Linked DNA regions of Alligator mississippiensis. The protein of the gene in region 2 purifies or fractionates together with the protein of the main gene of each other region. This does not show direct contact. Links are inferred from orthologs where the notes say so. Each region holds a gene or a part of one and is shown on either strand. Other genes may lie near its edges.

Region 1 (7,531 bases), on a different chromosome or scaffold from region 2:
GAACAGGGGTTTCCACTTTCTCATAACAAAGCCAACCCAGACCAGCCAGCTTTCAGTGCTCTCCCCCAGAACAAATTAATATGTCCAAAATCACAGTGAATAACATGCACACTTACCAAAGCTTGTTGTAGGCTTCTAAGCATTCTGGCTTTACATTGTGAACTGAAAAAAACCCAAAAAAGTCAATGAAAAATACAGGAAAGGAATAAAGAAAATAAACTGTTAAATATGAAAACATCACTCACATTGTATTTTATACAGACTGCTGGTCTCCTTTTTGGCTAGAAGATTGGAGTGAGCATCTTTCCGGGGATCAACTTTGCGAACAAACAGTGATTTTAACCAGCTGTCTTCACCGGCTCTGTTAGTTGAGGATACCAGTCCCCTACACATTAATGGAATATGCAGTCACTGAGTGTTCATTCAAAATGTGAGGATTGTTGAAAACAGCTGAGATAAGTTTAAATCAGTCACATTGTATCTTATACAAAGGTATGGTGCTAATTTTTTCTATTATCTAATCTCTAGCAATGCAACAGGTGCATGTGTACTCAACAAAGCACATCCTTACTGTAAAGACATCCCTGGATGGCCCAGAACTGCTCTACCTGGCCTAACACTGCCCCTCTTACACCCCTTGCATGCAGAGGAAGCAGGAGCACAGCAAGCTGTGGGTGAAGTGCTGCTGTGCTAGAGCCGTTCTTAGTTGATGCAACGGGCCCATGGACTACTACAGTCAGACACACATTTAGTATCCTGGAGCTGTTCTAGTTTATATCAGGTCTCAAGACAATATGTGGCATAAAACCCTGCCTGTTCCTACACTGATCATAGCCGTGCCAAGAGAGAAAACTAAGGCTACTCTGTCTTTGCTCAAGCACAATGTGGAGGTCTTTCATTTCTTGGAGTCTCAGAACAGGAGAGACTCCCTATGCCTGATGAAGGGTGACTGTTGTGCCTGAAAGCTTGCCAACATTTTTTTTCCAACTACTCAGTTGGTCTAATAAAAGATATCACCTCTACTCAAAGAACCTTGCCTGCCTAGGTCTTTCAAGAAACCCATAATCAACAGGAAAAAGGAGGTGCAGAGAAGGCAGTATGCATAAACAGGTTTGTCCACTGTGAATGACAGCAAAAACACCATGTGTGTTATGGCATTTTATAAAATAAATTTTTGCAAAAGACAAACTAATGCACCGCCCCAGAGAAGCTAATTTGGAAATGACTTAAAGAGTGGCAGGGGCCCTGAAGCCTGCATAGATTTTAATTCAGAGTAAGAGCAGTTCTAATGATCAGAATACAGATTCACTGTCTTTGCTCAGTTTACAATTTTTCTTGCTCTGGAACAACTGCACTGACTTTGATGGATGAAAGCTTGAATAGCATGTTTGAGTGCTCACAGAATTGATACACTCAAATTAGCTATTTATGACTTTATTACAACAACAAACAATAAAAACATAACAGGTAATCATGCTCTGAGTACACTAGAGGGACTTTTTCTTTTCTAATTGGCAGAAGGCCACCTCAGCTACCAGATGTGATTCATTAGTTCAGTTCACAACAATAGTAATGAGCTTGCATTGAAAGTGAAAAGCAAACAATAAAAAGCATTCATCTTATGCTGATTCTTTATACTGTACTTTTCCTCCTTGTCACCATTAGAAGTATTTTGTTCCTCACTCTTCCCTTTTCCCTAAATAATTCTGGCAAGTTTGGAATGCTTAAGAGACATCACAACCGGAGGGTTAAACCTCAACTGATTCCTCCAGCCTCAGAGGACAACTCTCCTGCTTCTAATCAATGCCTGGGAGACCTATCAGGGAGTTCCTCTAAATCAGGGGTGGGCAAAATGCGGCCCGCGGGCTGGATGTGATCCGCCAGACCATTCTATCCAGCCCGCGGGGCTCCTAAAAAATTTAGAAAATTAATATTTATCTGCCCCTGCCTGTCATGCAGCTCTCGATGGCTTGCCAAAACTCAGTATGCAGCCCCACACCCAAAATTACTGCCTGCCCCGGGTCTAAATGAATTACTGTCTTTCAGGTTCTCAAAAGGCAGTGAAAATCATTAAGGAAAAAGAAATTGGAAAAATAAATTTCTTTCATAAAATCTTTGAGCCAGTAGGCTTTCTGCATCTTAGAGCAAGAGTAAAGGAATTTATTTTAACATGCTTTGCAGTTCACTTATACAGACTAGATTTGGGCATTTGCTTTTGAGGAAGCAAAAAACACGTGATGGCAAGGGAAAGAACAACTGGGAGCGAGGTGACCTTCAACATAAAGAAGTGAGTAAAAACCTCTCAGTGCTCCACTTACTGGAGACTGCATTAATTTTTTTTCACTGTAGCCAAAGAAACAAACACTCTATTGTGTAGAAGTTATACAGCTTTCCTAAAAGTAAATATTTAAAAGGGTGTCTTGTACCAGAAATACTGCTAGGGCACGGAGGGCTGGAAGACATGCATTCGTTCTGTACTCTTCTCTGTCCCCATACGCACTGCAAAGGCTCACAGGGCATCCATGAGTTGTGATCCCACCCCTGAAGCACTTCCTTTGCTATTTTGGGGGGAGTCATTTAACCACCCTGCTTTATTCCCTCCCCAAAAAACCCTCTCTCATAGTTAAGGTTAATGAGTATTTATCTTTCATGGAAGGTGTTGTGAGGAATGGGTAATAATATTGGTAAAACAGTGAAAATGAAAGTGCTCAGCAAGCATGTTTACCTCCTTATCTGTATATGAACTTTACCACTATTCACAGAATTTGTGGTTTGATGTGGCCAGAAGCTTAGGACAGTCATTTGGTGGGGGTGGAGGCAGTTTTCTCAGTTTTTCAATGAAATGGTCAAATGAGTAATGTTTTAGAGCTGCACTGAATCTTTCAACCAAGAACTGGAAAGTGCTTTAGAAACAAGGCATTATTATTGTTGTTTTGTTGCTGTTGTTATTCCCATCCAGCAGAGATTGGCAACACTGACATTTCTGAAAATGGGTGCAGTTTGAGACAGTTAAGGACTGATTTTTTAATCAACACATCTTCTGATAAATCATGTCTTTTTAAACACGCACGCTCAAAAAAAATAAAATACATTTTGTAGCGTAGTTCCATAGTTCTGGAAGACAATGTCTTATTCTAGAATAAATGCAGTTACCTTCAGATAAAACTAAATGTTTACACTACAAGATAAATTCCACCCCAGGGGGTATCAGGAGTTTCCCACTGTTTTGAAGTGCTTGTGTTTGGGCAGAAAAACAGATGCAAAAGGCTATTTAACCCACAACTCCTTTTAAAATTTGTTGGGGGAAAAGGTGAACACAATTATCTGCATTAACAAAATAACAGCTTTAATTTCCTCTAACAGAAATATTATAAGGCACATAATAGGATTATAAACAAAATTCCAGTTTAAAGATCAATCCGATTCTGGAGTTACAGTACAGAAGCAGAGAAAATAAAAAGCATACAGAGTATCTGAACTTTAACCTCGTGTAACCGAACAATAACGCTCTTCTAAAGGAGGAAACGTCTGCTGCCAAATGTCATTTCTGGAATTAGATCAAAGTGTCCCTAATTAGTACAGAGTGAATTTGCAGGTCACATTCAATCGGTGCGGTTTTTGGAAGGCATCGCCTAGCTCGGCACAACGGGGAGAACAGGATCCCGTAGCTCGCTGCTACGAAAGAGGTCACTGGGTCACCTGGTCCCATCTTCTTGCCGGGGGCATCCCGGTTTCCTACTACTCTGTCCTCTATCCATACAAAACCCGATGCCTTTATGTCCTCTGTTTTTCTCTTGAAAATAAAAATAGAGGATGCAAAGGCATCGGGTTTCGTACCAATGGTCCCAGCCTAGCATCCCAAGTCGTACCCCAAGTCCCGGCCTTATGTCTTGGAGACACAAATAGAGGACATAAAGGCATCGGGTTTCATATCAACAGAGGACAACCGGACCGTCCTCCGCGATGGCCACCCTACTTCGCACCAGCGCAACCCCAGCGCACCACGACTCAGTCCCCAGCAGACCCTCGCTTCCCGCCCCGCCCCGCCCGATCGTAAGGGAGCTTCAGGCTGACCTCCGCGATGAGCACCCGCGTCTCCAGCGGCGCCCCCAGGCCCTGCAGGGCCCGTCAGACCCGCTCCTGCCGAGGAGAAATAAACACCCCCCCCCGCGAGCGGGGTGGGCCCGGGAGCCGACGCGGGGAATAAACCAGCTCCTCCCACCCCCGCCATCCCCACCCGCGCGGGGCGCGGCGCGCTCACCTGAGGGCCAGGCCGCGAGGCCCGGCCGCCCCCAGGCTCGGCTGCAGCAGCACTCGGGCCGCCATCTTGCTCCGGCTTCCGCCCCGCCCCCCGCTTCCGGGCGGCCGCAGGGGGAGCCCCGCCCCCGGCCCCGCCCCCAGCTCTCCCCCCGGCCAGGCTGGAGGAGCACGCGGTGGGCAGCCAGGCTCCGCCCCGCAAAGGGACTAAGAAAAAAGCAACCCCCCCCCCACCCCCCACAGCCATGCAGCATCGCCTCTGTGCCAACGCCAGAGGTTTCATCGCCCTGCACGACAGACTGCGGAAGCAGGGAGCTAGGGGCTGCCTGTCTCCCACGGATCAGACCCGGGAAAGAGTCACGGGCAAAACACCAGCAAATGTTGGGCACTGCCAGGCACCAGCCAGCACTGCTTTGCTGGTGCAAATGTCTGCGTACGCGTACGCCTGCTGCCATTGGGGCTGGGAAGAAGCAACTTGGCAGGAGTCTGGGAAATACGTCTAGGTCAAAACCCTGCGCAACGTGTGTGTAAAGAGATAAGCTTCAAGGCTTCAATGCTTTTCAAGTAAAAAACAAGGGCTGGGTTGCTTGATGCAGCCTTCCTCAGGAAAGAGAAGTCACCCTCCGCAGAAGGTGTAATGTTTTCTTCCTTCACCTCTTGCAGTAGCACTAGGGCTTCAATTGACCCAGACCCCGCGCAGTGTGAAGTAGCATTACCTCTTAAAATAACCTTAAAAAAGAGAGACTAACATTTTTAGAAGACTTTTTTTTTTCTTAACTAAGTTTTCTTTTTAAGGGCAGAACTCTAAAAACACACAGAAACCTAGATGAGAAATTACTACCTTGAAGTAATAGCTGGATTTTAAGATTATATTATAAATAGCATCACATAGTCCCTAGTAGGTGCGTCTACACAAGATGCTTAATGCCCGGTAGACTAATTCTACTGTGCGTTAGCGCAGCTGGCAAAATCCATGCTAATGTGCAGATTAATCCAATACGCATTAAGCATCACCTAAAAAGTGTTCCTCTACGCTAATGCGCAGTTGCAGTGATTATGGTGCATTGTTAGTATCTGTTTCTGCATAATTATGGCACATGAATGAATGTGTAGACAGTAGATATCAATTATACAAAAACTAGTTCTCATAAAGATGCGTTTTGGAAACAGCAGTGGTAAGATACGAATACACAGGTCTGTCCCCATGACCGTTCTTTCCTTTGGTTTATCAGCCAACAGGAGCTTCAGTAAAAGATCTATTTGCTGGGTATTTTTCCAGACCAGGGAAAAGACCTCCAAATAGCAAGGATGTCAACTGACCTTGTTCTGACCGAATCAATGCCACTTGGTAAAGTACAGAAAGAAAATACAGAAAGACAAATTCACTAGTGAATGAAAACTATACCAACATCAGATCAGAACGATATACAGCACTGCAACATTTTTGCTAAGATAACTATTCTGTAGCTGTGCTCACTGATATTTAAGTGAGGCTAAGAGTTATTTTCATCACCTAATAGCTACTCCTGAATGCCCAATGGTATGGAAAAATTTGACTTGCTATGAGTTTAATTTTTGTTCACAGCAACCCAAGTCACTTAACTTTTACTTTAAATGTGAAATAAAGAGTTTCACTTTCCTGGGTGCATAATGATTAGATATTACTGTAAACTGTGTGAAGACGCATCCAGAAATGTGCATGCAGTGTCCTTCAGTATCAATGAAATGCGAAAGCATGGTGTTGCAGCTTTGGTCGTTATTGATAAGTATTACAGTTATTTTTTATTAAAAATAGCTTGCCTCAGATTGTTTGTGGGTTACTATCGTATTTAGATCTGAACAGAATGAACCACCAGGCTAAATCTCCAACAGCCTGAAGTCACAGCTCTACAGTTCACTTGATTTTCTGGTTTGTCTGCTAGACTGAAAAAGATCATTACAAAAAAAATTTTGGGTGAACCCCAAACATTTTTCAGCTTTCTGGAGGCAAATAAAAATAGTCACTTCCTGTCAAAAATGTTTTGTTTCACGTAAACTATAAACTGTTTTGTTTGGATTTCAGGCATTTTTAACGAAGGCAAAGGACACTAAAACAAAGGGCTAGACCTACAAAGGCATAATCCCTCTTCGGCTACGGAACAGCTAGTGTGCAGCACTGGGCACACTGCAACCTTGGGAGACAAAGCTTTTAATTACAGAGCAAGCCCTAGTAGGGCAGGAATGAAGGACTAATTGGAAGGCATATAAATTAGAGGGCGGCTTTTAAACTCCATAGAGTAAGGCTGAAGTAGGCACAAGTGACACGATACTCCTATTTGGGCTGCAAATAAAAATCTATGGCAGGATATACACAGGAAAATCTATGCACCTATATAGAGGAAGATTCCTTTTCTGGTATGTTCTTCCTATGGCATCAACATAGGACCAACACATGCAGCCTGCAAGCCTTAAGTCTAGGTCCTGGAAGAGAGTGTCCCTGCGCTTTCAGCATAGAAATTGCTATTAATCACAGCAGCAGAGCCCTACAGCCCTGCTCTATCACCTGCCAAGGGGTGCTCAGGTCTCCAGGCAGCCTGGAATTCCAGCAGCACAAAGTCAGCTTTAATCTCCAGTCGCCACAGACTGAACTTTCTGCATTACAGCTTTCAGAGTATCAATCCCTGTATCTCTTAGCAGGATTTGGCACCTTAATTAGCTTTTCTTATTAGAAGATTAAGACTCTAAACATCTCTAATTTCATTTGCAGCACTGCATTCACAACATTTTCTTGTGTGTGTGTACTTTGTAACTTGTCTGTCAGGAGCCGGATACTTATTGGCAGCTTAAAGGGATATATCTTGCAGTTTATCGGTGTTAAATACATATCCACTTTCCCTTTGTTTTTGGAAGTTAGCTGAATTATAAAGAACTAATTTTTCCTTGAAATGTGGCTTTTATTGTACTGTAACAAAACTTCACTGACTTCAACCAGTGCTGGGTTGGACTTAGCATAAACTTACAATGAAACAGTGGCATAGCTTGGCAAATTCTCTATGGGATCCTTTCCACAAGTATGTCTAATAATAAAGCAGCCAACTTCAGCGTGGTGAACCAGAAAAAATACGCAGTTTAAATGAAGACAATTGTCACTTATTTTATAAGTGGATTTCTGAAGGTATAACACAGGCATAGTGACATAACTGGTATTACTTCTTTTAAAGGGAAAAAGGGCACACACATGGCTAGCTTTAAGCTTTCTACACTTCCTTCTAAAAACTTTAATAATGTTCCTTTA
Region 2 (7,331 bases):
TCCTGAGACTCTGGGGGAGAAAGGAAAGTGCTCATGGGATATAGGTGAGTCAGAACAATGAAGTAGGCAAAAAGCAGGGGCCCTTTGAGGGGGTTGTGGATGACAAACAGGGCCAGCTTGCTTTTGTTGCAATATTTTAATTAGGAAGGAGCAGGACGCCATCAACAGCAAACCTAGCATGACTCAGCACACAGCAGGCAGGAGCGGGGAAACCCCGCATGGTTTCTGGTCCCCTTCCCTGCTCACTCCTGTTCAAGTTCTCACTGCTCACATTTTGAAGCTTTTCACTACGTGCCCCTCCCGATCTTGGTGGGTGCGTAAAGGAGTCAGGGGCAAAAGTGTTCAGGGCATCTGTGGAACGTGAGAGAAAGCCTCCAGCCCCTAAACCAAGGGCAGGCAATTATTTTGGGTGGAGGCCCGCTTACTGAGTTTCGGCAAGCCATCGAGGGCTGCATGACGGGCAGCCAGGGGCAGATAAATATTAATTTTCTAAATTTTTTAGGGGCCCCGCGGGCCAGATAGAATGGCCTGGTGGGCCGCATCTGGCCACCGGGGCCACATTTTGCCCACCCCTGCCCTAAACAAATCTGCAGGGAACAAGCACCCTCTCTGCACCACCTGGCTAAAGGTTAGTAATAGCCCAAAACAGTTGATGTTGGAGGGCAGTTTGGTGCCTGTAAAAAAACCTGGATGTTTTAAGACCATTTCCTAGCAGATAAGAGCCCAGTTTACAACTGGCCCCTTACACAGCCTCAGGATAGCGGCAAAAGAAGGAAGATACATGCAGAAGGAACTAGAGTGACCTTGTCAGGGAGACCTGGGCAGAGAGGCCCGTGCTATCCATGCTGCCTCTATGCTATGGATAAATAGAAGACAAGTCTATTAGCCATGACAAGCCAGCAATTTTCATCAGTCCCAAATTTGACAGAGGGGAAAAATGGAAAGACTGACGAACTTGTCCCTACTTCCCCCCCACAGTGTTTTCAATGTCTAGCGCTGTTAGCACCGTACATGTGTTTACAAACCTGGCCAAAGGTTCAATGACAAACATCCCACCATTTTCCTGCTCATGTGTTTAAACATTAACTCATTGCTTCAAGTGGGATCATGGACGTAAACCAGTAATATCAGCCAACGTAGGCTACTTTAAACAAAAAGCAAGTCATTCAGACTACTCTAAAAATAAATATTCTTCAGCTAAAAATATGGCATTGGGATTTGAAAATGACAGCTTTTATTTTCAAACACTAAATTGATTTACCTGGAAAGCGGATATATTTTGCAGTCTGAAAAGACATTTTTAAATATTTCCCCATCTAAAAGACAGAGCGAGAGAGATCAGATCTTTTAATTTAAAAAACCATTTAATTAATGACAAGGCCTCTCAAGCTTCTCCATTATCACAGGTTAAGAATGATATCACTAAAATTCAGGGCAGTGGGCCTCCAAAATGAAAGGAAATTAACATTGACCTGATACTAATTGATTTGTCTTTATGTAATTTTACTTGGAAGGTACAGACAGCATCTTCTGCCAGCTGGACTCTTGTCTGACCAGATTAAGAATCCTGTCAACTGTGTCTGATCTGAGAATAGTGCTGCCAACAATCCTGGAAAGTCCCCAAAACGTCATCCTTAATGTCACTGATGTTTATGCTAGCATCTATTTTTAAACCTCCAAATTCAGGCTCAGGAGAGATTGTTAGCTAAGGAATTATTCTAAGCTCATGTAGCATACAAGCCGGCAGGGGATGCTGGATACATGGTTGGATTGCTAACCCACCCTAAAGTTTGCAGTGCCATGTCTTTGCAAGCGTTACCCTATGTAGTGAGATGAAAGCTAATGCCAGTGTACCAGCACTATAATAACATCTGTTTGCCACGTAGACATACCCTTGGAAAGCGTGTATTAAACAAATGGAGAGGTCTTGTTAATTAACATACTCATCTTTTGGATTTCATAAAGCAGACTGGATTTTGGAGGCCCTCCCAACCAGCCGTCCTGACTAATATTGCCTTGTGACCTGATGGGAGCAGTGTAACCGTGTCAGTGCTAAAGGATGCTGGATGCTGTGCTTACGGCAGAACGGAGGTACAGATGTGACCATCTCTGTGACAAGGGCCCTGGGGTATCGTGCTGTAGCACAGCACTCGTGTCTCCATGCTGGAGGCTTGTGGCTGCCGTGTTGCTAAAAAAAAGACGTATCAATAATAGACTCAGTCCTCGGTGTAGGAGGCTCCTGGACGAGGGACAGATGTTGCTGCATTCCACTAATGGGGCTTAATGTTGCTGACAAGCCCCGGATAGCAGAACCGACTGCCAGCTGCTGGAGAGTGCTGCAGACTTGATAAGTCACTCCCAGGTGAAGTGAATCATATTTCCATAACACGAAGTGCTGGAAACAAGTATGTCAACAGTCACGCCTACACGGCCCTGTCTTGTGGTAGAGCTGTCTGTGGACAGCAAACACCCTTGCTTTTTTTCTTCTTCTTTTTTCTAAACACTCAAACCTATGAATTCTTCCATGCTAACGGGTTGGGTTTTTCTCAGTATGCAGGGAAATGGGACATGGAGTGAAGAAGTCCTTTAAGAGCAGGATTAAGCCAACAGGAAGCTGCTGGCCTTCACTGGAGAGAGGAAAAATAATTTGGGAGCTGGAAGGAAAGAGAGGAAGAAAGAGGGGAGGAAAACAGAGTGGTGAACACACAAGGGAGTGCCGGGATGAAAAGGCAGCGGGAGGCAGAGCATATGAACGCTGTGCTCAGTCCTGGTTTCCAAGTCTTGCAAGCTGCTGCAGGATGCAGAGGGGCTGGGGGAGGGGCAGGATCCAGCACACGGCAGCCCCTGCCAGGGCGGATCCAGGGGCGCACCGCTGCACCTGCACCCCTTTCACTTCTGCTCCACCCAAAGTTTCAAACCAAGTACCTGGCCGTGGCACCAGCATTTCTAGTCCGGCAGTTGTCTTCATGGCTCCTTGTCACCTACCTGATCCCTTCCGAACTCTCCAGTCCTCAGGCCTTAACGACCCCTCTCCCCTTCCCAGTGCCCTCATGAACCAGCTATCTGCCCTGCTCCCCGGCACCCAGCTTTGACCTTGCAGCCCCGCAGGCTGGCTTTTAACACCTGCCAGGGCCCTTCCCCTTGCTCCAGCACAGCCCTTGAACTCCAGATTGATTCTGAACGGGACATAAGTGAGGGCCGCGTGGGGCGGCGAGGCAGGAGACAAGAACGGGACACAAGTGGGGACCGCGTGGGGCAGCGAGGCAGGAGACAAGAACGGGACACAAGTGGGGGCCGCGTGGGGCGGCGAGGCAGGAGACAACGGGACACAAGTGGGGGCCGCGTGGGGCGGCGAGGCAGGAGACAACGGGACACAAGTGGGGACCGCGTGGGACGGCGAGGCAGGAGACAACGGGACACAAGTGGGGGCCACGTGGGGCGGCGAGGCAAGAGACAAGAATGGGACACAAGTGGGGGCCGCGTGGGGCGGCGAGGCAGGAGACAACGGGACACAAGTGGGGGCCACGTGGGGCGGCGAGGCAAGAGACAAGAATGGGACACAAGTGGGGGCCACGTGGCGCGGCAAGGCAGGAGACAACGGGACACAAGTGGGGGCCACGTGGGGCGGTGAGGCAGGAGACAACGGGACACAAGTGGGGGCCACGTGGGGCGGCGAGGCAAGAGACAAGAACGGGACACAAGTGGGGGCCACGTGGGGCGGCGAGGCAAGAGACAAGAACGGGACACAAGTGGGGGCCACGTGGGGCGGCGAGGCAAGAGACAAGAATGGGACACAAGTGGGGGCCGCGTGGGGCGGCGAGGCAGGAGACAACGGGACACAAGTGGGGGCCGTTTGCCCCTCACCCTGTGCGCCCCTTTGGCGAAATTCTCCAGCTGCCCCCAGCACCGGCATGAGGCGTAGGGTGGCCATTGTAGAGGACAGTCCGGTTGCCTTCTGCTGATGTGAATCTGTCCGCCTGTATGCACTGGGAGGTGTGGAGGGGCACGTGCCCCCCCCAGAGAGGCTCTGCCCGTGCTGGCAGTGGTGCCCGCGGGCAGATGGTGACTGCTCCACCATGGCCGGGGCACGCGCGGCCCGTGCCTTTGTGCGCTGTTTCCCTGTCGCAGAGCCCCGGCCCCGGCCCCGGCCCCGGCCCCGGCCCCCCGCGCCCAGGCTGGGACCCGGCGAAGCCACCCCGCCCGGCCGCTCCCCGCTACTGCCCCCGGGCGGGCGGGCGGTGCGGGGGCTGGCCCGAGGGGGCGTGGCCGCGCAGGCCCCGCCCCCGGCGCTATAAGGCGGCGCGGCGGCGGCCTGCCCGCAGTGTGCGCTGCTCGCGGCCGGCTCGGGGCGGGTGGTTACAGTCGGTGCTGCGGGGCCTTGTTGCTGCGCCACAGGCGGAGGCGGAGTTGGAGGCGATGGCGGCGGCGGCGGCGGCGGCGGCGGTGACGGTGAAGGCCTACCTGCTGGGCAAGGAGGAGGCGGTGCGCGAGATCCGGCGCCTGGCCCTGCGCCCCCCGCTGCGCTACCAGCCGCTGCGCGACCGCCTGGCCGAGCTCTTCCCCGTGCTGCTGCGGCCCGGCGCCGGCGCGGCCTGCCGCCTGCACTACCGCGGTGCGTGAGTGACCCCTCGCGCCGGGCCGGGCCGGGCCGGGGAGGGCCGGGGGCCCGGGCGGAGGGGCCTGGCCGCCCGCGGGGGTCGCTCACTGGGTTTCTCTCTCGCAGATGAGGACGGGGACATGATCGCCTTCTCCAGCGACGAGGAGCTGGAGCTGGCCTGGCCCTACGTGAAGGACGGCATCTTCCGCGTCTACATTAAAGGTAACTTCTTTTTCCCCCCCTCTTCTCGAGAGAAGCCTGGAAACATAGGGCGTGTCGTGGGCGCGCCGGATGCAGCCGGACCCCGACTCAGTCAGCGCGGGGCTGCCCATGTGCCTCCTCTTCCCGCGAACAACTGCCGGGCGACGGTGGATCCAGACGCTTGGCAGGTGTCGTGGCTGTGGAGGCTGCAGCCTCCGGGCACGGCTCGGTGGGGCTGGACGGTAGATCTAGCGCGGCGATTTGAGACGCGCGGGAGCCTCAAAGGGGGAGCGAGACTTGCCTCTTTCGGGAGGGAACAAATACCTCGCCAGGGGAAAGCAGTGTCATTTGGAAATGTGAAGCCCCAAAAACTTTTTGGGCCCCTTAAGTCCAGAAAACTGAAAAAAAGAAACAAAACCGAGTTTAGCTTTCTGCAAAAGTAAATGGAGAACCTCCTCCCAGTTGAGCGCTGTCTTCAAACTATGGTTAATAATAATACTGATTATTATTTCATGTTTCTCTGGATAATAATATAACTCTGATGTTCACCTATTTCAGAGAGAGAAACCTTGGGGGCACGTAATCTGCTAAAATTAGATTGTTTAGCAGTGCTAGAAACTAGCAATACAAGTAATACCCATACAAGCTAGCGGGGCAAGGGCAGCTTCTTCCTCAGTGCAGCGTGGACCGTGTCCAGTGACACAATCCTGTCCAAAAAAGTGTCTCCACAAGGAGGATGTACGCTTTCTTGACTTAGTCTTTCTGGCTTTGTTTCATGTTGCCCTCTTCAGCGTTGCGTTTCTTCCCCAGCTCTGTGCTTGCTGCTGGCTGGTCCCCAGATACCCGAGCATTGTTGAGGGCGTGCGTAATGCAAATGACCCATAAGCTGGCATCGTGGACACATTCGGCTCGTGTGGTCCGTGTACTAATGAACTCCAAATGTAGAAAGCTTTGCTGAGTCTTGTTTCCTAAAGGCTTAAAATAACCTGGCAGCTTCCTTGTAACGTAGAAACTCTCACTCTTTAGAGAAAAAGGAGTGCAGGCGTGAACATCGCCCACAGTGCAGCCAGGAGCAGCCCCCAAATGTGGTGCATCCCAACGTCATCTGCGATGGCTGCGAGGGACCGGTGGTGGGCGCTAGGTTCAAGTGCACTGTCTGTCCAGACTATGACCTGTGCAGCACCTGTGAGGGAAAAGGCCTCCATAAGGAGCACAACATGGTCATGTTCCAGAGTCCGTTTGAGGTGAGCAGTGTTTCTGCTGTGGAGAGGGACTGGTGCAGGGGGTGTCCAGAGGAGTTTGCAATTCCAGATACTGCATGTAGTTGCATGCTGTTGTGTGACTTGTGTCCAGGATGTAATCCAAGTATGGGGTCAAATGACACTGCAACTTCTTTCAGTGGTTCCCACGAGGTCGCTGGCTACGTAAGATGAGGCACGGTGCTCCTCCCTTTGCCTGGATGCATAGCTGGGGGTATCCAACTCCTTCAGCTCCGTGCCAGAACTCTGGGCAGGAGCAAGCCAGTACGGCACCGGAAAATCCAGCCCCTGAGCAAGGTAAGAAGGGAATGCTCTGCTGAATGAAGTGCTCGGACTAGTAAAGGTTTGATAAGTTGTTGCTGCTGTGGAGTGGGCTGGAGTCTGTGTTGGATGGGAGTGGGGAGGAAGCGCTAGGTCTCCATTTCGAATGCAAACCTGCTTGAATTGCACTTCCCTTGGATGGTGGGTGGAATGGGTTGTCTAAGCCTGCCAAGACCCGGCTTTTTCATTCCCTTGAGGAAAGTGTGCGTTTGGCACCTACCTGCTGTCTTGCATTAACAGAAGTTGTTTTTTTTGTTTTTAGAGCCCTCTACTAACAGCCAGCCTCAGGACCCCAATGTCACCTTCCTAAAGAATGTCGGGGAGAGTGTTGCAGCCTTTCTGAGTCCCCTGGGTAAGTGACTTTTTTTAACTCGCAGTTCTCAAATCCAGTGTTGGGGCTTGCTCCTATCTTGTACCAAGAGGAACAGTGGCATGCCTCTGCTCTAGAAGACATCCGAGCCATTTCTGGCTCCAGTCTCCCCATAAGGACCCAAGGGTGTCCTTTCTTGCAGAAGTATACTACACAGTGGTAAAATGATAGCATTTAACTGGGAAGAACCTTGAGCTAACTAGGTGACTTAAGGCTGCATCTAACTCCTGTGTTAGTGCATGTAACAGCTGCTTGCTCATCCTTTTAAATGAGAATGGAGAGCAGCTTTTTCCTGGCACAGGAATGGCTGGCATGTGCTTCACTTAACATAAAAGCACACTGAAAGCTTTCTTTTTTAAATTTTTAAATCCCCTGCAGATGAGAAATGTCAAACAAAATGATAACTTGCTGTTTGAGTTCAGAATAACTAGATTCCAATGAATGTGCTATCTTTCAGGGGACTTCCAAGTCTGTAGCTTGTATGCTAACTTACTGATTGCTTTTCCCTCTGCCTGGTTTCTTAGGCATTGAGGTAGATATTGATGTGGAACACGGAGGACAAAGAAGCAAAGTGACCCCCACC
Region 3 (7,946 bases), about 73 Mb from region 2:
TCTTTGGCACACGTAGGTACAAGCGGGGCACTCGGGGCGGGGGTGTCATCACAGTAACCCCGTCCTCCCTGAGTCCGAGGTGTGGAAAGTGTGGGCAGCTTCCTGACGGGCAGGCGTGGGGACGACCCGGGTCTGGGCGTGGATGTGGCTGGTCCCCAGGTCTAAGGCACGTGGGCGTGAGTGTTGGCCGGGCACCCGGCCAGGATCGAGCCTGAGCTGCAGGCGCCCCTGGTGCAAGCTGGGGCCCAGAAGCCATCCCCTGCCCCTCTCACTTGGCTAGCACGTCCTGAGGGCTTTCCAGAGGCTCAGCTGTACAGGTCTTCCTCCTGCTCCTCCTCATCCCTCCTGCCCGACGTTCGGCACCACTTGGTCCAGCCCCTGCCTCCAGGAGGGGCCGGAGCAGGGCTCCTGGGTGGCACCCCCGCCGCCGGCGAGCCAGGGGTGCAGCAGGATGCCTGGGGTGCTGAGCCGCTCCGCCGGGGCCTTGCGCAGCAGGCAGCGGATGAGGCACCGGGCGCGGGGCGAGAGGCCGCCGGGGATGGCGAAGGCGCCGTGGCGGATCTTGCTGAAGAGCAGGGTGGGCTCGGCCTCCTGGAAGGGGTAGCGCCCCACCAGCATGGTGTACAGCACCACGCCCAGGCTCCACACGTCGGCCGCCTTCCCCGAGTACCGCGGCCTGGTGTGGAGGATCTCGGGGCCCACGTAGGCCGGGCAGCCATGCTTGTCCGACAGGGCGTCATCGGGGCCGCTCAGGACACACGCGTCCTCCAGGCTCTCCAGCACCAGCCTGGTCCTGCGGGTGTTAGCGACCAGGGTCAGCACGGCCAGAGCCCCCGCCGCGGCCGGGCAGGCGCCAGGAGCCCGGGCACCTGGACAACATTGTGTCCCCCGGGCAAGGACCAGTCGATGGCAGGTCTGATGTTCGCTGTGCCCCCGGCACCCCGCAGCCTGTGCCCGGCTGGAGAGGTGCATTGAGCCTCCCCCCAGGCCCAGCAGCACCCACGCCCCGGACCCGCCCCGCCTCACCTCTCCCGGTCGGCAAAGACGAACTTGCGGAGCTTGAGGTCCCGCAGGACGATGCCGTGCTGGTGGCAGTGGGCCACGGCCTCCGCCATCTGCCGGAAGAGCGCGGCGGCCTCGGCCTCGGGCAGGCGCTTGCAGCGCCGCAGGTGGCTGTGCATGTCGCCATGGCCAGGTGGGAAGAAGATGTAGGCGCTGCGGTCCCCCTGGATCACCTCGGCCACCCGGGCCACGCTGGGGTGCGGCGGGAGCCGTCCGTATGGGGCCATCGCCTCCTGGTAGCTCCTCATCGGGTAGACCTGGGGGCAGCGAGGGTGGGCATGAAGGCGCCAGGAGCAGGGTGGGCTCAGCTGCCTTCCCTGCCCCATCCTCCTAGGGAAGTCCAGTTCTCGCCCAGGCCAAGCAGGGAGGCTCCACATGCAGCCAGGGGTGGAGAGGCCTGCAAACCCCGGGCCATGCAGGGTCACTGCCCCCGGTACACCCCCCTGGCAGAGCCAGTCCACGGGAAGCGCCAATGCATGCGTGACCCGAGCTCCAGAGCCCTCTCGGACCTCCGTACCTTGCAGCTGTACTCGGCCTCCGTGGGCCGGTGCACGGCGCGGTAGGAGCGGCCCCCGTCCCTGGGCTCCAGCAGGACGTACGGCCCGATCTGCAGGACCCTCGCATCATGCTCCTCGGTGCTGGGAGATGGGGCCAGAGGTTGTAGGCAGGGCACAAATCCTAGCAGTGGGCCCAGGCGCGGGCGCTTGGCTTCGGGGCTCTTGGCATCCGGGGCCTCTCCCGAGTCCAGCCGCTTCTTGCCGAGTGGAGCTGTGCCGAGGATCTTCAGCATGGTCACGCTCGTCTGTGCGGGCGAGGGTGGCACAGGGTCACACTTGGCAGCTGGCCATGACGAGGCTGGGTGGGACGGGCAGAGCCTCCCGAGGGGCCCTGCTCCCAGCCCTCCGCCCCCCTGCACCCACGGCCCATGCAGACAGCCCCAGGCTGCTCTTTCAGCGCAATCAGCCTGGCCAGGCAGACCTGGGCACCGAGGGCAGCTGGTCCTGATTGTCTTGGGTTGCTACAGCCCAGGGAAGGACCCCCGCCTCTCCCCCTGGGGAAGGGGAGCGCCTGTCACCACCATGGGAGCACGCGTGTCAGGTGGTGAGCGTGTGTTGGTGCCATTTGATGTCATGGTATAATCACAGCCTGGGGTGGGATGGGGCAGGTCTGCCTGGATCACCATGACGCGGTGTTTGCATGTGTTGGTGTGTGCGTGTGACCTCATGCTCGGTGTGCCTCTGGGTACGAGGTCATACTGTGTGAGGCAGAGGTGCGTGTCAGCTGGCTGGCATGTGTGTTGCCATGACTGCACACGTGTGTGTGTCATCATGGGCTGCACGTGGGGGTGTCCCAGTGCTGGGGGGGTGTCATCATGGTCTGTGTGCCCCTGGAGACCGGCTGTGCCTCACCCCGCTGGCATGCGTGTCACCATGACCATGCTTGCGGTGCTCACTCATGGTGTGTGTATGTGTGTGTGCACGTGAGGGGGGCGTGGCTCTCCCACTCATGGGGTGTGTGTGTGTGTGTGTGTGTGTGTGTGTGTGTGTGTGTGTGCGCATGGGCACCTGTAGCTCACACTCCTGGTGCATTTGCCTGTGTATGTGTGCATAGGTGCGTGCCTCTCTCACGGTGTGCGAGTGTACGTCTGCGGGTATCTGTGTGGCTCCCACTCATGGGGTGCGCGTGTCTGTGGCTCTCATGGTGCGGGGGGGGGGGGGGGGGGCCGCACGTGTGTGTGTGCATGGATGTGTGGCTCACGCTCCGGGAGCGAGTTCGCGTGCCCGGGCCCCGCCCCGTCCCGCACCGCCCCGCACAACCCGCACCGCTCCGTCCCGCCCGGCCCCGCACCGCTCCGCACCTCTGCGTCCCGCGCCGGAGCCGAGTGCCGGAGCTCCTCGGGAGGCTGATGCCCGAAGCGGCGGCGCTTGCACCGCCCGCCCCGCCCCGCGCCGCCCCGCCCCGCCCCGCCCCGTGTCTTGCGACACCCCCGCGGCCCGTTGCACCAGCCCGGCCGGCTCGCCGCTCGGCCCCCGCGGGGGCTGCCAGGCCCGCCCCGCCGGCCCTTGCTGCGGCGCCCCCGGGCCCCGCTCGGGGTTAGCCCGGGGGTGCCGGGTCGGGCGCAGCTGCAGGTCCGGGCAGGCAGCCTCCTCCGTCCCCGTCGCTAGCGCTGTCCCCGCGCCGTGCCCGGCTGAGCCCGGCGTGCGCGCAGGGCCGACCGGCCGGCCGGACCCTCCCCTGGCTTGCGGCGTCCGGCTGCTGGAAGCCGGGCTGGGTTTTTACGGGGTCACGCTCTCCTCGGTTATTTCCCTACCCCTCACAACCTGTCTCCGGAGCTTTCTTCACCCCTTCCGCTGCCCGGGCGCCTGGGATGGATGTGGCGGGCAGCGAAAGCAGCTGTCCATGTGGGGCTCACAGGCTTCCCTTTGCCCTGCCTTCCTTCGCCTGGTGTCTGGCTGCTTCCCTGACTTGCTCCACAGCCCTTTCCAAGTCCGCGTGTGCCCAGAGACAGCACAGCGCCCTGTCCCCAAGGATTTGGCAGACGATGGCACGGCCCCAGAGCCAAGGCCACCGCCGCCTGGGCTGGCAGCACTCAGCAGTGCCTTGACTTTGACCTCGTGTTGGAAGCACGTCGACCGCCCACGGGGCGCGAGCCGGGCAGGGGCTGGCCACTGGGCCTGGAGGCAGCTGCCCTGCTCCATAGGAGGGGCCGTACTGCGGTGATTGTGGAGGCCAAGGTCCCCTCCAGACCCCCGTTGCTGGGGATTTGGGGGGACCCGGGCCTTCCTGCAGCACTGTGCCCATCACTGTGGTGCCTGGGCCCATGCCAGCCCTTGGCTCGGTGCTGGTCTCTCTGACGCCCCCCGCCCCAGCTGCTGCCTGCTGATAAAGACCCCAGCTCCCCCGTGGGCCCAGCCGCCCCCTGTCCCCGTGAGCGCCGCCCTTCCTTCCCGGCCCCGCTCGGCCCCTGCGCGCCTTGCGCCTGGCGGGTTTCCAGCCCTTATCGCTGCAAGTCCGACACAGGCTGCGGGCTTGTGTGGGCTGAGCTCTTATCTCGGCACAGCCGTGGGGGGCGTTGTGCAAAGCCCCGGCCCTGGGGGAGCAGCACCGGGGGGCTGTCAGGGCTGCGGGGAAGCGTGTAGTTAAATGTGGGGTGTGGGGGTGCAGAGAGCTGTTTCCAGCCCTGTGTCCGGCTACGGAAACTGAGACACGGGGCCACTCTCCATGCTCGTGCACTTTCCCACCCTTGGTGTCTCCACCAGCCAGCCCAGCACCCGGAAACCTGCTGGCTCATCCCACCCGGAGGAAACAGGCTGCTGTGTCTGCATCCCATTTGCCCCCACTGGAAGCCACCCCAGGGCTCTGGGGCCATGACTAGAGCTGGCACCGCTGAGCCCAGGGCTACCCCGTGCCACCTCCATGTCCCTTCTGCCTGGAGCGGAGATGCACCAGGATGCACCATGCAACCCCATATGGGGCTGGCATTTGGGGTGCCCGGCTGGCTAGGACTGAGACCCATCACAGGTGGCTGAAGTCCCCACTGCTTCCAGTTGGCTCTGCCCTATGGGTCCTGGAGCCCTGTGGCCCTGTGGGCAGAGCCGTGGGTTTCCCAGAACAGGCCCTGGCAGGGGCAGGGTTTGCCAAAGAAAGGGAAATCCCAGGGCAGGCTGCAGCAGGCCACTTCTTCCCGGCAAGTGAAGCAGGGGTGAGCCGGCTCCAGCTTCCTTCTGCAAAACCACGGCGCAGTGCTGGGAACTGTCCTGGGCAGAGGCTGGGCACGGGTGTGGGGCACAGCAGGGGTCAGGGGGCAGCTCACACTGCTCCATCCTCCCCCTGGCAGCAGAGGAGGGCAGCCGTGTGCTCCTTCCTATGGCATCACTCCAGATGCAATCGCAGCCACTGCGACCAGGTCCGGTGAGCTGGCCGCCCCCTCCGCAGCGTGCCCACACCGGGCTCTGGTGAAGCGCAGCTGCTGGAGATGCTGGTCTTACAAGGGGCAGGGGTCTGTGGGCCGGGGCAGGAAGGAGAATGAGTCTTCCTCTCTCCTGCCCGGAGCCGTGCTTCCTCCCTTCCCTTTGCTGTTTCGGGAAGGCGTGGGTGCAGCTGGGAAACCCCTGCTCCCAGCGGTGATGCAGAGGCAGCTGCAGCCACAGCTGGAGGTGGCCTCTTCGCCCCGGGAAGTCCGGCCCCGTCTGCTTCCGGGGAAGTGGTGCTCCACTCCCCTGCCCTGCCTGCCTGTGCCCGTCTCCTCCTGCTCTCAGCCTGCTCTCCCCCGGCTCTTGCTGCTGGTGCCAGGCCAGGAGACCATGCCCTTCTGGCTCTGGACTGTGCCAGGTCAAGCTTGCAGCTCCCAGGGGTGCCTGGGCCCCAGCTGCACTGCGCATGCTGGTGGGGGTAGAAGCTCACCGCCCGGGCTGTCAGTGCATCTCGGCGAGCCTAGATGCGGGGTACTGCCCTGACCCGGCCGTGGAGCAGCCAGCCCCTGATGCTGCCACCGAGGTGCCCAGGGCTGAGTTGGGCTCATCCTAGAGACCAGGCTCCCTGCAGAGCTGGGGTCCAGCCAGCAGCGCTTGGGCTGGGGGGATGCTGGAGCCTGTCCTTGCCCCGGGTCTGGTGCATCATTGGCCCCTGGTGTCTGCAGAGCAGACGGGGCTGAAGGAAGGAGAGGGAGCAGCCAGGCCAGGCGCTGCCTTTGACTCATGCCCAGACCCCGACAGACTGGCAGTGGGCTGCCGTCTCCTGGGGAGCAGGAGGGAGCCAGCCTGGGCTGTGCGAGGGACAGGCCACGCAGATCCTTCTGGTGCAAACAGCCTGTTCTCCGCGGCCGGGGCTCTGAGGCTGCCCCGCTCTGTGCCAGCTCCCCAGGGAGGGTGTCCAGTCCACGTGGGCTTTGCCAGCCCAGGCTTTGTCCTGCTGCTTTTGTGTTCGCCCAGGGGAGGCGGGCACAGGCACAAAGGCAGTACCTGGGTGACAAGCTTTGCCATCGCTCTGGGCTCAGACAATGCCCCAGCTGGTGTCAGAGGGAGCTGTGCCCGGGCACGGGCTGTGGGAGCTTTGCCTGGCACGGGACTCCACACTTCATGCTCCGTCCCCGCTGGCTGCAGAGCAGAGACGAGGGTTTGCAGGGCCCGGCACCGGGTCCCCTTCTTCTGCCCCTAGCCTCATGCTTCAGAGCAGAGCTCCCTGTGCCTGGGTGAGCCCCGGGGTGGCACCGTCTGTGTGCACCGCACCCTGCTTGTGCTCCTGGCACCCGGGCATGGGAAGGAGCCAAGCTGCCCCAGCATGGTGCATGGCATGGGAAGCATGTGCGCCCCCGCGTGACCTCTGCGTGTGCAAGTGTGTAATAAGCAGGCCCAGCCTGTCCTGGAAGAGCAGGCTGGGGAAGGGGCCGCCGTGCCACTGTGGAGAGACCTCTGTTCCTGCCCACCCCAGCTCCACCCTGCATGTCACCTGGCTGGCAAGCAGCCCGGGTACTGCTGTGCCAGGCACGGAAATGCATCTCCCAGCCGTGCCCTGGCAAGCACAAGCAGTGGGCATGGCCGTGGCCTTTCCATGCCAACACACCTGGCACAGAAGAGGGTGGCTGGACGGGCTGGGATGCAGACTCTGGAGTCCTACAGGCCTTGAAGCCGGTTTGACACCTGTTCCCTGCGCCGTTGCACTTGGTCCCAGACGCCCGCCCCTCAGTCCCCTGCTCCTCTCCCGTCCTGTCCTTGTAAACCCGGGGTGCTGAGATGCCCCCTCCAGCTGCCCCTTATCCCGCTGCCTGCCAGAGGTATGCACATTGCATCAGAAGGGGCTATGCAAGGAGCAGCTGGAGTGCACCAGCGTGGTCGGCCAGGCCGTGCCCCGCATGCCCCCCACATCCTGCTGCACCAAGGAGGAGAGGGGGCAGCGCCTGGCCCTGCAATGGGCGAGGAAGCTGAAGGGCAGACAGGCCAGCCCGGACTCATGCAGACAGCTCTGCTGAGACCCCCCACCACTGCCTTGCTGCCGGCTCTTGCAGGGGCTCCCCGGCAGCCTTAGCAGCATTTGGGGCTGCAGCGTGGGGCTGAGACAGGAGAAGGCTGGGGCTGAGCTCTCCTGGGGAGCAGCCCCCGCTCTCTACCCTGGGAGCTGGCTGCAGCTAGGCCTGCGAGCGTGTTCCTCCCTGCAGCAGGAAGGCCCCTTTCCCCATGCCGGGATCTGGCTGCTTACCACGCTCCCCCCCTGGCACCCACCAACTTCCAGCCTCCACTTCCTAGTGCAGCCCTAGGGCCAGCCCCTTTCCCACGGCCCTGGGGTCAGATGCTCGCCCTGGGCTCCATGCAGCCACAGCCACCCCTCCCGGGGCCAAGCCCAGCTCCCCGCACGCACCAAGGCTGCCAGTGGGCAGGGGGCTGCACTCTTAGGCCTGGCATGGTGGGGACACTGGGACCCTTGCAGGTGCCAGGCTGCTGACCTGCCTCGGTGTGCTGGTGTCTGCACCAGGGCATGCATCCCCGCGGGGCAATGGCCTGACCAGCTCTTGGGCAGGCTGGAGCAAGGCAGAGCTGCAGCCAGTCACTGGGGGGGGTGCAGGGCATGCAGCCCCTCACCTCCGGCTGCCCCCCATCCCTGGGAGGGCAGGAGTGCTGGATGCATTGTGCAATCGCCTGCAGCGTTGCAACACACGGCCTCCCCGGCGGTTATGCAATGCCCTGGCTACCTGCCTGGCCCAGCCTGCCGAGGGGCTCGTGGGACAGGATCCTTCTGGCACCAGGAAGCGGGGCCTGGCATGGCGCCATGTGCCACACGTGTACAACTACAGGGAGGGGGTAGGCGTGGAGAGGGCACAGACATGCGACCTGCTGGGGGGGGGCTGCCCCCCTGCACCCCAGCTCTGGCCCCCAAGCTCACCCCAGGGG
Region 4 (7,039 bases), on a different chromosome or scaffold from region 2:
TTTATTAACTGCTTTTAAGAACTTATCAAAATGATAAAGCATCACTGAAATATTAACATGTTGTCCTTTTAGGATTAATTGTATTATAGCAGGGCAAACAGCAAGCATCTCAGTTCTACAGTCTTCAGTTAATCCTAGATATCAAGAAACCACTAGAAGACACTCTGAAAAGTGTTCTCTTCCTGCCTGTACAACTGATCTGGTTCCTTTCATTCACTATGATAAGGCTCATAATTAAAATGTGGCTCCAGAAAGTCTGTGCGTAGAGTTGAGTGTGAAAGTAAAGATTAATCATTATTTTTTTGGATGATACTTTTACTCACGCACACACTTCAGAAAACAAAAAAATATTTTCTTGAGGTCAAATTCTGAGACCTTTTCAAAGCAAAGTAGTACCTTACTGTGGAATACTCCTAAACTAAATGGAAGCAAAGATTTAGAAATGGACCCAAATCAAGGCCTGTATCAGAACATTATATAAGCAAAAGATGTATTAATATCAGTTGAAGTTGTCGTTTTGCCCATAAGAGAACAGCATTCAAGATCAACAGCTTCCCCTTTTCTTGTTTGAAAGCACTATCCTGTGTCAGGATGAACAACCCATAGCATACAAATTACAGTTTGTGAAATATAGATAATTATTTTCCAAATTGGAAAACCTGGTCATTTCATAACTGCTCCTCAGAGGCAGGTGCAATTACCCGTTTGTATCTTTCTCAGTGAAGATACAGTTTTTCCTTTTCCTAAACTACTATTTGTAACAGCATCCTTGAAACATTGCAGGAAAGGTGTCATTTTTCATTATCCCAGGTGCCAAGATAAAATAGGGCTGAGAACGTATTAGGTTTCAATCACAGATGAAGAACACTGATCCACTACCTTGGTTCAAGACTGTCCTGTTTCTGCATGATCAAAAACAGCTGAAATACAGACTTTTTCCTTTTAGTTTCCCAAGGGATAACATGTTTAGGACATAAGTCATTAAATAAGGCACTCTAACTGTAAAACAATTGAAAACTGCGCAAAACTTAAAATATTTATTACATGCCTCGCAGCAGTGCCAGTGTGGGGTCACATTGTACAGTAGGAGGGCATTCTGAATGAAGGTAAGTTAAAACTATTTCTATTTTTTTTAATTTAATATTAACAGTATTATTGAACTATATTTTTCTATGATATCTTTACACTGGTGTAAAAAAACAATTGTTTTGACGTTAAACAATACTTATCAATATGTCTTTGAAAAAGAAAACTTTCAAAAATAAAGATAGCAATGAATTTTTTTGGGGGGTAGAACTGCCGCATTCAATAAAATTTTAGATTACAAAAAAAAAAAGCAGCGAAAACAAAACACACACAACCCCTCCCCTCCCGCTGGCTCTGAACCATGTCATTTCATTTATACCAGTGGGGTTAGAAGTCACTTAACACTGAAAAAAGGACTATAATTTCCTCTGACTTCTGTCTAGCACCATATTCCTTTTCTGTTGGGTTCTTGGATCTACATTTTCAAAACGGTAGGAAAAAGCTAGCTTTACTCCATTATTTAAAATGCCGTGTTCATCTGTTGTATTTATTACTTCAAACTACATTATGAAAGACTACAAATACAAAAAAAAAAAAAAAAAAGTTACTAAAGAAATTCGCTTTCTACAGGCTAGTTTATCAGATTACATTCCAGGCCTCTTCCAAATATAATTTAAAAAAAACCTAAGATGCTTTAAATGGGTTCTGTTTATGTGTCAACCCAGGCAACAATCCTTTTTCAGTAAAGAGGCCCTAAGTCTTACCATGGCCCTGATAAAACAGCCAAGCAGCAGTGACCGCCAGAATAGTTTGCACATGTCATGATGATCCAAATGTTTCACTACCCGGCAGCAGCCTGCTCGCTTCCAGGCCTCGTCCTGCTAGTGCCGCACCATTTTGAGACAACAGCTGGAAGTTCCAACTAGTTTCCAAAGCGTCAGGAACCTTCCCTGGCAGCTGAAGCAATCAGGCCTTCAGGCTGCCGGCCAAATGTGCGGCTCCAAAGCGTCCACCCAAACTTCTTTCAGCACAGGCCTAAGCAGCTCTGGGAGCTTCCTTTCCTCCGATGTCCTACCCCGTCCCAGAGACGGTACTAATGTCATTACCGACATTAATGCCAGGACAGTCCTATTTTACCATCATTACTTAAGAGGATGTTCAGAAGTAAAAGGCAAGGGGCAAAGGTCGGGGCCGCACCGGATGATCTTATGAGGTCCCTTCTAGCCCTAATGTCTGCAAAAGTCTAAAGTTTACGGGATCAGCACCCAAAACGAAGCCGGGTGAACACAGGGAGAGAGACGCGCCCGCTGTTTTGTCACCGGTCTCTGAACACCTCCTTCCAGCTCCTTCTCTCCTGGCAGCTGCATAAACCCCGCAACCCCCCACTGGCACGGCAGAGCCTTCTCCCATCAGAGGGACTTGCCTTGCAGCAACAACAAATAAAAGACCCGTTGGCAAGGAAGGACACCTAGAAACCCCCCCAGGCGCGTTTCTTTCCCCCTCTGGAGGCTCCTCGTCTCATGGACATATTAGGAGCGGCGAGCGCAGGGGCGAGCGCCCAGCCGCGCAGCCAGCCAGGCGGAGGGGAAGGACAAGGGGAAACAAACCCACCCACCCCGTGCCAAGTCTCCGCTTCTCTCGCTGCACGGGCGGCTAAACCCGCTCGGGACTCGGGACTCGGCACGGGCAAGCGGGCGCCGGCGGGCACCGCAGTGCGGAGGGCAGAGCCGGGTACCTGGGGCCCGTGCAGGCGCGGGTCGGTCCAGGTGGTGGTGCGGCTGTTGTGGTCCACGAAGAAGGGCCAGCCCGTCTGCGGGTCCACCTTGATCTCCCAGCCCGGCGGCAGCGGCTCGGCGCTGCCCTCCATGCGCGGCGCGGGAGGCTGCGGGGCGGCAGCGGCGGCGGAGCTCATGCGGGCGGTGCGAGCCGTGCACCGCGGCCGGGAGCCTTTATGTGGCCGGGCGGGGAGGGAGGGGGTGGAAGGGTCTGGAAATAGCAGCTCGGCGCAAAGGGGCCGGCGGAGGAGGGGAAGGGGAGGAGAAGGAGGAGGAGAGACGGCCCGGCTGGAAACTTCTGGCGGCGTCCAGCCCGGCCACCCCCCGCCCCGCAGCGGTGCCGCGCGGCCGCGCTCAAACTTCAATGCATTCCCCCACCCCAATTGTTTTTGGAGGCTGCGCTTTAGGGACAAGCCGGCGGCTGATGGCTCCCCCCGCCAGGTCTCTGCCAGGCAGGGTTGTGTAACTTGTCTTGCTGGGTAGATCGGCATGCATCTGAAAGCCGTGCAGTAGGATGGTTGGCGATGTGCAGCGGGTGCAGGCGAGTGCATGTGCACCCCCTGAGCGAAAAGGTGCCCGGTGCCCCTGTGCCAACGCTGCCAGCGATTGTTACTGGCCTGCGGGTGGTCGCTGTGCCACCCCCCACGCTTGCCACCGCCACCAAAACTTCCCAGGGAGGTGGTCCTCGCCCCTACCTTGGGCAAATTCAAGAGGAGGTTGGATGATCGCCTGTCTGGGGTGTTGTGAGCCCAGCGTTCATTCCTGCCCGTGGAGGGGTCAGGCTAGATGATCTGTTCAGGCCCCTCCTGACCCTAGTTATGAAACCATGAAAAGCACCGCCGCCACCTGCGGGAGCTTGCCGGGCCCCCCAGCCTCCGGGGGCACGTGGCGTTCATGAGTACAATTAACGACGTTGGCCAAAAAAATCTCCCAGAATAGCTTCAGTCAGTTGGGTAGGGGGGTTTGTGAGCGCAGGCCTGGGAGGCCTGTGATGCGCTAGGTGCCTGGTCTGAGCTTGGTGTGCCTGCAAAATCCAGCTCTGCGAAACTGGAGTCTTGACATGCCGCCGGCCTAAAGGAGAGAAGAGACCTGGAGAGGACAGGCCGGCTGCTAAGTGGCTTCCTACTTGTCAGCCTTCCTGGGCCCTGGCACCTGTTGCTTGAGACAGAAAAGATCAGGCATCATTCGACACTGAGCCCTGTCCCCAGTACTAGTCACAAAAAAGGCAAAGACTCATCATGCTGGTACACTTAGATCAGGGTCTTCAAAGTTGTGTTATAGTGTTATGATGCATATGAGTCTGGAGAAGCACATTTTTTAACTCAGTCCCGCATCCTACATGGGTGACTGGCATCCCCACATTGGTATCATTGCAGTTGGCATCAGAATCTTTTCCATCCAAGATTTCTTTGCAGATTGTCCTGCCCATGCTCTTATTGATCCTGACTTGATCTGCTAAAATTGCATTTACATCTGACAACCTTATCATATCAGGGTGTTTGTTGAATAATTGGCTAGATCTGTCTTCTCTGCTGTATCTAATACCATCAGTACCAAAACCTAAAGGACTGAAGATGAAAATAACATAAGTGGCAGAACCTGCCTCTAAGGCTTTAATTCCTGTTTTCACTCCATAAGGCTATGTTATATCATTAGAGGAATATTATTCTTTTTTTTCCTCTACTCCTTCTAATAGTAAGTACAAAGCACACTTACCTATAAATACAAAGCACAAGGGATCCTGGTACATAACTGGGGCTCCCAACTGATGTGGAAATACAAATACATAATAACCATGGTAACTGGAAGTCGTTAGCCCTAATTGGATCCACCGATTTACAGGAGGGTTTCTGTAAGCCTTCCTCCCAAGTTACAGTCTCATGTTCCAGGGGCTTGTTATGGTCCATGGCTCTGTGGATACAGACGCACCTGTTTGAAGACTATGATCTAGTTGATTTAGGATTGACAAGCCAGTCAAATATTGTCAACTGACTGCATATTTTTTGACCAGTCAAACATTAAAGCAATTTTACAAAAAACACTTTTTTTGGTTTTCTTGACAGAAATACAATTTTTTGAGACATTTCTTAATGAATTTTTTCCTGTGTATTATTTGGACCTATTGGCAATTGTTTTACAATTTTTGACCAATATGTGACCAGTAAATTGAGTGCACTTTATTTGACCAGCCAAATATCCAGCCCTAGTTTGACTGGGTTTGTGGCTCCAGGTTTGTGGCTAGGGTTTCTATTAGGAAGAAGGGTGGATGATGTTCAGCTTGAGATCTCATATCTCAATAAGTATATCCAATGCTTAACATTTTAGGCAGTCACTCTATGATCCCTTCCTTAGATCCCACAGATTGGTTCACAACTTTTAGCTTGTAAAATGTGTAATTTTTCCATGTCAGTTCATCCTGTCCACCTGTGCTCCATTTAAGTGTGTAACCTCAGGATGGAAAAAAAAACCCCACACAGTAACTGAGAGCATATATTTATCCAAGCTCAACCAATACTCACTAGGTACAATAACAGCAGGGGCTAATCTTTTCACACCTCTTTATGACTTGGTACCTTGTTTCTCAGAGCGCCTTATTCCTCTAATGCAACAAACACAGGTTTTTTGGTCATACCTTTTATTAACTTGGTTCAATAAAAGATATAATCATAAATAATTTTGCTTTGCCCATATTTCTCCTATCACAGCTACAACAGTCCAGCCCTACTTATGCTTTTAGTAGCAGTCTTGAAATTGCTGGAGCCTTGTCAGTTCAGGACTGGCTGCCTTAGAAGCCTTCACATTTGATGGGTCCTCGTTATATATGCAGTGAAAGGCAGTATGGTTACCTTATTGCACATGTCAAACTCATCTGGCCCTGTGGGCTGGATGAGGTGTGCAGGGCTACTCCACAAGCCAGGTCAGGCTTACAGAGCAGCCCCATGCATCAGATCCGGCACTCGGGGCCAATCCAGAGTGACCAAGTCACTTGTACCATAAGTGACACATTCTCTGACTGACTGTGGACCTCATGCAGTGCACAGGGCTGGGGCTAGCACCTGCAGGGGCAGGGCAGCCCACCTCAAGCCGGTCTAACACCCACAGGCAGTACCGCAGGCTGGAAGGTAGAACGCTGCGGGCCACGTCTTTGACACTGCTGCCTTACCGACTAGACCGGTGGTCTCCAAGCTTTTTGCGGTGAAGATCACTTTTTGGAACTAAAGGGCACCCCAGGATCTACCACACGCCCACCCTGCCCCATGCATCGCTGGACCACAGAGTGTCCCAGACCCTGCTGGGTCAGGGTCCGATCCCACTTCTGTGCTGCGTCTGCACTGAGCTGCACCCGTCTGGCAGCCAGAGGAATGTGGCATCGAGACCTGGCCCGGCTGGGTCTGGAAGTCTCCGTGGTCCAGGAGCATGTGGGGAGGGGCTCCTGCTGCTGGGCACAGCCTGTCAGAGGCCCCAAGGGCCCATGCCTCCCCCACCTGTGCTTGGGATGAGGCGGCTGCTGCTGTGGGCTGCCCGCTGCACCCCGAGCACAGGTGGGGGAGAGGCATGGGCCCCCAGGGCCTCCGCTAAGCTGTGCCCAGCGATGGGAGCCCCCCCCACACACCCCCTCCGAATGACCAGATCTTCCCAGACCCAGCTGGACTAGGGCCACCCCCATGTGAGTCCCCGCTGCTGAGCTGAGCTGAGCTGCACTCACATGTGGCCACCTTGCAGCAGGGCTCAAGGCACAGTGATGGCAGCCTCTGCCACCTCCGCCCCTGAAGAAATGGGTGGGAGTCCCTCCCCCCCCCCGTGCCCTTAGAGGACCCCCCACAGGCTCCAATCCTCCCACCACCCAGCCGGGCTGGGGCCCCACTTATCTTCCCCTGCTCCTGGCTGGGCCGCACGGTCAGCTGCTTACCATGGGGGCTCAATCTGGCTCCTGCCCCTTCCCTACCCCACATATTGCCCTGCTGAAGCTGGGGGCAGTGGGTGTGCACGTGCGCACATGCCCAGCTGCCCCCCAGCCAAGGATTTATCAAAAGAGGTTTTGAGATGTACCTGTAAATCAGGATCCCCAGGTTGGTGACCACTGAACTAGACAGTGTGTCTGTTCTTGTGCACTTAAGAGTAATCAGCTTATGCACTTAACAGATATGCAGATAACTAATGCTTGTTATAATGTAAGCAGAAGGCAAAATGTTGGGACTGATGTCCTGTTTTGTAGTTGAGCATATAGTTCATGATCA

What was found. Proteins that work in one complex are often made in the same cells at the same time.
Region 1: the proteins of SQSTM1 (region 2) and NIPSNAP2 purify together in Homo sapiens (affinity purification with mass spectrometry; 4 studies listed by BioGRID and IntAct, with this or other methods). This does not show direct contact. The link is inferred for Alligator mississippiensis from reciprocal best matches to the Homo sapiens genes SQSTM1 and NIPSNAP2.
Region 3: the proteins of SQSTM1 (region 2) and TRIB3 purify together in Homo sapiens (affinity purification with western blotting; 3 studies listed by BioGRID). This does not show direct contact. The link is inferred for Alligator mississippiensis from reciprocal best matches to the Homo sapiens genes SQSTM1 and TRIB3.
Region 4: the proteins of SQSTM1 (region 2) and BAG3 purify together in Homo sapiens (affinity purification with western blotting; 3 studies listed by BioGRID and IntAct, with this or other methods). This does not show direct contact. The link is inferred for Alligator mississippiensis from reciprocal best matches to the Homo sapiens genes SQSTM1 and BAG3.

Annotation. Positions count from the first base shown.
Region 1 is NC_081837.1:10,248,838-10,256,368, forward strand, and holds the start of NIPSNAP2 (protein NipSnap homolog 2), read right to left. Parts: upstream 3,010-7,531; 5' UTR 2,803-3,009; coding exon 2,726-2,802; intron 386-2,725; coding exon 246-385; intron 163-245; coding exon 117-162; intron 1-116. UniProt on the Homo sapiens protein: Protein involved in mitophagy by facilitating recruitment of the autophagy machinery required for clearance of damaged mitochondria.
Region 2 is NC_081832.1:74,668,141-74,675,471, forward strand, and holds the start of SQSTM1 (sequestosome-1), read left to right. Parts: upstream 1-4,329; 5' UTR 4,330-4,416; coding exon 4,417-4,612; intron 4,613-4,723; coding exon 4,724-4,819; intron 4,820-5,824; coding exon 5,825-6,042; intron 6,043-6,197; coding exon 6,198-6,354; intron 6,355-6,640; coding exon 6,641-6,730; intron 6,731-7,272; coding exon 7,273-7,331. UniProt on the Homo sapiens protein: Molecular adapter required for selective macroautophagy (aggrephagy) by acting as a bridge between polyubiquitinated proteins and autophagosomes.
Region 3 is NC_081832.1:1,754,589-1,762,534, reverse strand, and holds the start of TRIB3 (tribbles homolog 3), read right to left. Parts: upstream 3,010-7,946; 5' UTR 2,911-3,009; intron 1,865-2,910; 5' UTR 1,853-1,864; coding exon 1,580-1,852; intron 1,320-1,579; coding exon 1,027-1,319; intron 794-1,026; coding exon 337-793; 3' UTR 1-336. UniProt on the Homo sapiens protein: Inactive protein kinase which acts as a regulator of the integrated stress response (ISR), a process for adaptation to various stress. Inhibits the transcriptional activity of DDIT3/CHOP and is involved in DDIT3/CHOP-dependent cell death during ER stress.
Region 4 is NC_081829.1:87,292,518-87,299,556, forward strand, and holds the start of BAG3 (BAG family molecular chaperone regulator 3), read right to left. Parts: upstream 3,010-7,039; 5' UTR 2,939-3,009; coding exon 2,762-2,938; intron 1-2,761. UniProt on the Homo sapiens protein: Co-chaperone and adapter protein that connects different classes of molecular chaperones including heat shock proteins 70 (HSP70s), e.g. HSPA1A/HSP70 or HSPA8/HSC70, and small heat shock proteins (sHSPs), e.g. HSPB8.